Ovis aries: one gene and its partner. The protein of the gene in region 2 binds, or shares a complex with, the protein of the main gene of each other region. Links are inferred from orthologs where the notes say so. Each region holds a gene or a part of one and is shown on either strand. Other genes may lie near its edges. The genes, in order: GJC1 and TJP1.

The links.
Region 1: the proteins of TJP1 (region 2) and GJC1 are in contact, whole or in part, in a crystal structure (PDB 3SHW), measured with the Homo sapiens proteins. The link is inferred for Ovis aries from reciprocal best matches to the Homo sapiens genes TJP1 and GJC1. Residues at the interface, in NP_003248.3 of Homo sapiens: Lys429, Ser432, Val433, Gly434, Leu435, Arg436, Leu437, Gly449, Val450, Leu451, Val484, Leu487, Leu488, Leu549, Asn551, Gly552, Lys553; in NP_001073852.1 of Homo sapiens: Lys391, Thr392, Ser393, Val394, Trp395, Ile396.

The regions. Positions count from the first base shown.
Region 1 is NC_056064.1:44,264,143-44,267,957, forward strand, and holds part of GJC1 (gap junction gamma-1 protein), read right to left. Parts: exon of another isoform or gene 2,704-3,815; intron 2,605-2,703; 5' UTR 2,532-2,604; intron 1,672-2,531; 5' UTR 1,652-1,671; coding exon 461-1,651; 3' UTR 1-460. UniProt on the Homo sapiens protein: One gap junction consists of a cluster of closely packed pairs of transmembrane channels, the connexons, through which materials of low MW diffuse from one cell to a neighboring cell.
Region 2 is NC_056071.1:26,241,048-26,244,862, reverse strand, and holds part of TJP1 (tight junction protein ZO-1), read left to right. Parts: intron 1-127; coding exon 128-367; intron 368-957; coding exon 958-1,812; intron 1,813-1,908; coding exon 1,909-2,006; intron 2,007-3,257; coding exon 3,258-3,485; intron 3,486-3,815. UniProt on the Homo sapiens protein: TJP1, TJP2, and TJP3 are closely related scaffolding proteins that link tight junction (TJ) transmembrane proteins such as claudins, junctional adhesion molecules, and occludin to the actin cytoskeleton.

The DNA of each region.
Region 1 (3,815 bases), on a different chromosome or scaffold from region 2:
CCGGGTAGAGTTTGCTGAACAAAGTAATAACACTAGCCTAATAAGCATTACCTTAAGGATTTTTCTCCCCTTTAATATAAAAGTATAACTACAGTGGTCCAATGTACAAATACAAAAAAAAGTTCTCATACTTAAAAAAAAAAAAGTACCATAATACTGTACATACAAAAACTGTTCAACAAGAATGATTTAAATATATCTGTTCTTTTCCAGATCTGGAAGACACAAATGTAAAGTTCTGCAACTATATTATTGCTGGAACTCGTATCCAAGAACGCTGTGTTTCCCATTCTCTCCCCCTTGCCCCAGCCCCACCTTCAGAGTCCCCTGAGCTTGGATCATGAGCCAACAGCATCCCTGAAGATAAGCAGAGCCAAATGTTTACTCAACGGAAGTCGTTTTTCAGTGAGCCGCTGCTTACCATGAACTATGAAAGCACAAGCTTTAAGCCCAGCCAAGATTAAATCCAGACGGAGGTCTTCCCATCCCCTGATTTGCTACTAGCACTGCTTTTGTTGGACCCAGCTTTGGACCCCACTTTGGCTTTTTTTCCCCGGGAACCGTGGGGGTTATTTTGGTGATTGTAGGCCTGGATGGCCAGATCCAGGCGTTCCTGAGCCATTCTGATTTCCCTCTGCAGAGTCTCCAGGTCGGGTGGGAGGCTGTCCTCATGGCTGCCGTACTGCTGTTCCTGGGCGATGTTGGCCTTGTTTTGCTTGTAGGCAATCTTAGCGTTGGACAGTTCGGTGTACTGGATTTGATCTGGTTTGACGGCAATGTTATAGCCAGGGGGAGCAGATGGCGTATTCCAAGTGAAAGGATAATTATAAGCACCCGGATCTTCCAGTTCCCTCCTTTTACTGTTTAGTGAGTCTCGAATTGTCCCAAATCCTAAATGAAGCATCTCCCAAATGTTAAGCAATAGGCAAAGGCCTGTAACACCATACATTATCAGAAGAAAGATGGTCTTTTCAGTGGGTCTAGAAATAAAGCAGTCTATCTTATGAGGGCAAGGGAGTCTGCTGCACACATAAAATGGGTGGACTTGGAAGCCATACAGGAAATACTGCCCAACCAGGAAACCCACCTCGAACACGGTCCTTGCCAGCAGCTGCAGCACATAGATCTTCATGAGCCCATCCTCCCGAATCCGCCGCCGGCCGTCATGCTTAGGTTTAGATTGGTTCTGATCTTTATTTTCTTTCTCACTTTCTAATTCCATTTCTGGATACATCATGGGATCCTCTTCATGGTCCTCTTCCGTTTCTTCCAGAGCCCGGTGCTGTTTCCAGCGCATTGCGTAGGGCTTGCTGCGAGCGGCCTTCTTGTCTGCGTCGCCGTGCTCCATCTTGGCAATCTTATGAATGGCATAGCCCAGGTACATGACCGAGGGGGTGGCCACCAGGATGATCTGGAACACCCAGAAGCGCACGTGAGAGAGCGGTGCAAAGGCGTCATAGCAGACGTTCTCGCAGCCCGGCTGCTCCGTGTTGCACACAAATTTGCTTTGCTCGTCGTAATAGATGGATTCTCCTCCTACGGCTGTAAGAACGATCCGGAAGACGATCAATACCGTGAGCCAGATCTTCCCTACAAATGTGGAGTGGTTGTGGATCTCCTCCAGTAGGCGAGTGAGGAAGCTCCAACTCATGGTGACTAAACTGGTCCGCCCTGACAAAAATGAAAAATACCAAAGAAAGATCAGCAAATACTAAAATCTTACTTTTTTTAAACTGATGATATCTTTTTCTCACCCGCTACACCACCATCAGGAAAGGCCCTTCCCCTCAGGCTATGAGCACGGGTGTATGCTGACAGGGTCTGAGGGAAGTCTGATTTCTTTTCATGTCTTCTCTAGTTTAAAAGGTAAAATTGCAGCTGTCATTTGAGATACAATTCTTAAAGCACACTGGATGTTTTACATATAGTGTTATTTCTTGGACTTTCTGAATTTTGTGAGACAGAGGAAAGAGTACAAAGGGACACTTATTCAGCCACAGTAAGACTGCCACCGAGAACACGATGGGGACGCCTGGGCTGGACTCCACTGTGAAGAGACACCTTATTGGCAAACTTAAATACCAGATCTGGTAACAAAGTATTAACAAGAATTAAGGAGATGGTAAAGCTGCAAATATTAATAACTGGCAAAGATCAAGAACTAAAATAAAAGACAGAAACTCAGAAGCCTTAGCTAGGGCTCATCACAGCAGATCCTAGCATTCTGTATTATACTTCTGTATTTTATTTATGGTTGATGTTAAAAAATGCCTGCAGACAGAAAATCCAATCAAGAGGTAAATCTACTTAAAACAGCATTTCAAACGACAATTTTATTCTGAGATTCTTAGATCTACGTTCAGAATCTTGGTAAAAACCATCTAAACAAGATAATATACCTACAGTCCCTAATTCAGCCCCTGACACAAAGCACACCTAGTTCTTCTCCTTGATCTTTCCTCTCCTGCTTCACTTCTGCAGATTACAGTTGATTATCAGCATCATCAAAGAAATTTAAACACTCCTTTTACCTGTTATCCAGAATTTCTGCTATCCAAAATTTTCTTAGAGAAATGCTTTGTTTACAACTTTTCCAGATTTTCTCTGAAAGAGAAACAGAAGAGAAGGCCATTAAGTTTTCTCCCACAGAAAACAGTAAATCACCAGAATGCCATTTTCAGGGAGAAACAGTTTTCCATGTACCACAGGAATCAATCAGCATGAGATGGAAAACAGGACTGAGCTTGAATATCACTGTTCTCTTCTCCAATACATTATGATAGGAGAAAATCCCTAAAAGTGACTCGAAGGTGCTTTAGTCACTGTAGTCTAAGAAAATATGACAGGAAGATGAATCATTTGTGAAAATCCGAAACAGATGAACTCTGGCATCTATAGGAAAAAGCCACAGCAGAAAATCTCAACGAATTTTAGCCGGGTCATTATAGGCGTTGCGAAAATCTTCACCCCACGTGCTCTATTCCTGCTCTCTTCTCTGGAGCAGCCAACTAGGAGCAAGCTGTTTATTTATGACACCCAACAGCTGGCTCCCTGTCACCAGGACACCCATATCCATAGGAGGTGATTCACAGACTCAACTGCTCACAGAAAGAAAACATCTGCACCAGTACTGTGATTACAAGTGTATATACATAGGACAAATTACTTCTCATTATCAAGTTCTGCCAACTATGGGATAGCCATGGTCACGAATCATCCTCATTTGCTATCTCTTAATTTAATAAATAAAACGTAAAATAAACCCTGAGTGTTCAAAGTTATTATATGTTCAAAATAACAAAAATTTTTTGGGTAAGATACATGAAAAAACCCCAGAACAATTCCCAAAAGGTCAATGAAGAAGGAAAAAGTTCAGAGGCATCTACATAACGTGCAAGAATCAAGATTTACATACAGAAGAGTCCAATCACACAAGTATTTCACCACAGGACTTCAAGTACAACTCTCGTTTCCAGCACTGATATCCAACTGAGCTCAACAGCTCTCCTCTCACTCTATACACAAGTTATAAAACCAAAGCAAAAGTAAATAATAAGCAATCTTTAAATGGTGATGTAAGCCAGGTTTCCATAATGAATCACATTCAAAGGGTCTAGACTCACATTTTTCCAAAATGCCATCTCTAAAGCATTTCCCTTAAAGCCTGAAATTTTATTTGTTCCAATAAGCCAAATCATGAAGGTGCAATCATTGGTTAGTTAGAAAACTCATTCTCTACACTTCCATCTGTACCAAAAACAAATGGATATCTTTTTAACAATTATTGCTATGAAATAATTTCTCAACAGGTCAGT
Region 2 (3,815 bases):
GAACATGAGGTCACAGTTTTTTTACTCAGCACACTTAAAATGTATGTCTATCAACCACTATAAATGGAAGTGGGGAGTTAGCAGTGAACAGAAGCATTATATTTAAAATATTTTAAACACTTCACAGAAAGCAGAAGCCTCATCTCCAGGCCCTTACCTTTCGCCTGAAACAAACCCGGCACCATCAGCCTCTGCCGTTAATCCTCACGTAGACTTAACTAATGTCAGACTGGAGGAGCTGAGCCCAGCTCCCCCCTCCTCTGACTCACCACACGCCGACTCTTTACGAGCTCCAGGCACTGAGGCCGCTCACGTGCAGCTCAGAGGTCCAGAGCCGTCCCTGTCGTCGCATGTGGGCCCAGCAAAGGTACCTGTGCCGCGGGGGCTGCCCTCACCCGCCGCTCCCCGTCAGCCTGCCACACGAGCACGTCTGCTTTCCCTCGAGTGTCCTCTGCTTTTACTGTGGGCTCGACACCATGTTCTCAATCACTGCAAGTCATCTGGTTCTGCAGTCTGCATGGCTTCCAGTGGTGCCTGATTCCTTAAGTAGGCCTTTTAATTGGGATTGATACCTAATACTTTCATAGGTTTTTAATGTTTGGCTTTAGAATCTTCCAAAATTTCTTAATATATTGTTCAGATCCATTGTAAACTGCTTTACGTTTTCTAAACTATTATGTCCATAAATTTTCTTTATGATTTTCATTTTCAGTGTCCAAATCAAGTGGAATCAACAGCTGAATGCATTAATTTTCTACTAAACTTCATTTAGTGTTGTTACATGCTGAAACATAAAAGCCCCTACTTGCATTATAAATTTTGAGCTTTCACTTAAACTTGCTTTCTCCACTAATCTCTTTCTGTCCTGGTAATAAAGGGTAGAACATGTCATTTCTGTCTCTTACTAGACTAGGAATTGAAGCCAGCCTGTGTCCTTACTCATGGCTGTTTACGCAGGTGTACAGGAAGGACCCCTACCCTGAGGAGACGAGACAGAACCATGTCTTGAAGCAGCCGGCTGCGGCTCACCCTGGGCAGAGGCCAGACAAGGAGCAAGGCCTGAGCTATGAGCCGCAGCCTCCGTACACAGAGCGGCAGGCTGGCAGGGAGTTGGAGCAGCCCGCGTACAGATATGATGCCTCTGGCTACCCGGAGCAGTTTGCTCGGAACTATGACCCCCGTCTGCGCTATGACGACCGCCTCCTCACCTATGAGGAGCAGTGGCCCTACTACGATGACAAGCAGCCTTACCAGCCCCGGCCTCTTGATGGTCAGCCTCCCGCGGAGCCAACAGAACGAGGGTATTTTTCCCGTTTTGAGGAGCCGGTGTCCCTGTCCTATGAAGGCCGAGCGCACTACGACCCACTGCCCAGGACCTCCACCTTGCGGCACGAAGAGCCGCCCGCCCCTGCCCCTGGGTACGACGTGCATGGAAGGTACCGGCCTGACACGCAGCCCTACTCCACCACTGGCCCCAAGGTGCCCCCTGAGCCCAAGCCGTACTTGGACCAGTACTCTCGGAGTTACGAGCCGGTGCCAGCTCAGGGCTTCCCCTCCCGGGCAGGCCCAGGCCACTATGAGCCTCTTCACAGCACCACACCTGCTCCGCCACTTGGCCCCTCGTCCCAGCACAAGCCCGAAGCCGCGCCCACAGGCACCAAACCCCTGCCTCCACCCCCAGCTCCAGCCGAGGAGGAGGAAGACCCAGCCATGAAGCCACAATCCGTGCTCACCAGAGTGAAGATGTTTGAGAACAAGAGGTCTGCTTCCATGGAGAACAGGAAGGATGAGAGCCATTCCACTAGTTTCAAGGTAAAGATCTGATCACCGTTTCCCTGCCTTGTGTCCAGAACACATTCAGTGATGAGTGTGCAACATGCCTAAGATGTGTATCTTCTTTCTCTGCAGCCCCCAGAAGTCACGTCAAAACCGGCAGGTGCTCCTGTCCCAGGTCCCAAAGCCCCTGCTCCGAGTCAGCTCGGTGAACACGACAGAGCGGCACACAGGTGGGTGCTCCACAGCCTCGTGGGTGGGCAACAAGCCCCAGCTGGGGAGGGGCGGGGAGGGGGGGATTTGCGGGTCTTCACTTGAAATCTGCCATGTATCTTCTGCAGCACATCTTTGTTATCCTTTCCATAAACAAATCTGAAAACAATTTTCTAGCAAATTTCTAACATATGCTAATATACAATTTTAGAGCCCTAACTTCGGAAGGATGTTTTTAGTTTAATAGTGCTGTTGGCACACAGGCTGTTAGTTTTTAGCGACAAGAAAACAGATAGCTGTAAACTAAACTTCATCTTTTTAAATTTTTGTCTGTACTGTGCGGCATGTGGGATCTTAGTTCCCTGAGGAGGGACAGAGTCCATGTCCGCTGCAGTGGAACTCTTGAGTCCTAACCACTGCACCCTGGGAATCCCAAACATAATCTGTTAGTGAGCATGTAGCCTGTGACATGTGCCTGCCGTGGTCAGGAGCACGGTCAGCATCAGGATGACTGGGCGGAACGAGGCTTCGGGGACCTGCTGTGCATGCTCCTCACTGTGGCTGCCCCTGCTGTTGCTGAGTGATGGGCTGCGTCTGAGCAGTTCTCTGGCCTAATGTTTCATTGGCTTATATTTGTGCTTGTAATAAAGAGGAACTGCTGTCTCATTTCCTCTGGTTTTCCTGATGCCTAGTGCTTCCATGCAAATGTAGACTACTGCGGTGTCTCCTTTAGCTGGGATCATTCACAGATAGGCTCTTGCACACGGAGTAAGTGTGTTGTAACTGACAGCTTAGCCCTCCTTGGTGTGAAGCCTAGTGTATCTGTTTCTGATGCTGAGTTTCTGAATTACCCAGCAGGGCCTAAGTAACAATACCTCACTTTGCTGATGGTTGACCTCCTTTGCCTTTCGTCACTGTCTAGCTCCTTCCTCACCTGGGGATCATGTATCGATCCTGGCATCAGAGTCTTGCATTCTCAGCAGTTGTTCTGACGGTGGTGCCCGTGCTGGAGCTCCCCACTGTCTGCCTTCCCTTCTGTCTCTGCCTCTAACCAGCTGGTTGTCAAGCTCAGTAGATGGGTTGTGTTAGGAGAAGGCTGCCCTCTGAGTGTGATGTGTGTGCACTTAGGGCCCAAGTTTCGGCCTTGGTGGCTGCCCTGCTCAGCTAGGTCACGAGTAGTCAGGGTGTCAGTGGAAGGTCAGAGATACCTATTCTGTTCTCTTAGCCAAGTTAACGTCTCAAATGTTGTTCCATTTATCACTTGTTGTCAGGATCCCTGAACCACAGAGGCCTCATGTGAAGCCACCTGAAGACATCGTTCGGGCAAATCACTATGACCCCGAGGAGGATGAGGAGTACTACCGGAAGCAGCTCTCCTACTTCGATCGGAGAAGCTTTGAGGCCAAGCCCCCCACCCACGTCCCCGCTAGCCACCTCTCCGAGCCCACCAGGCCGGCTCACCCCCAATCTCAGCCACAGTTTGCCGGTTACTCTTCCAAGTGAGTCACTTCATTTTAGATGTAAATTTTCAAAGTTAAGATGAAACAAAGGATCACTTGCATCAAATGGAGTCAGCCACACAAAGTTCAGTGTGTTCTGAAGGGAAATGTTAGCTGTGTCATACTTACTTGATTTCTGTGGGTGTTAAGCAGTTCAGCATGCATGCTATCCAGCCTGGGGTGTGTAGCTTTGTTCTTAGACCCTGGCGTCATCTGTGTGAGCTTCTTACATTAGAAAAGATGTTAAATGTCAAGGGGTTCTAAGGGTCCAAATACTTTGACAAAGGTAAGAGGGTGAGCATTTAAGAGACTGACCTTGAAGTCCCTCCT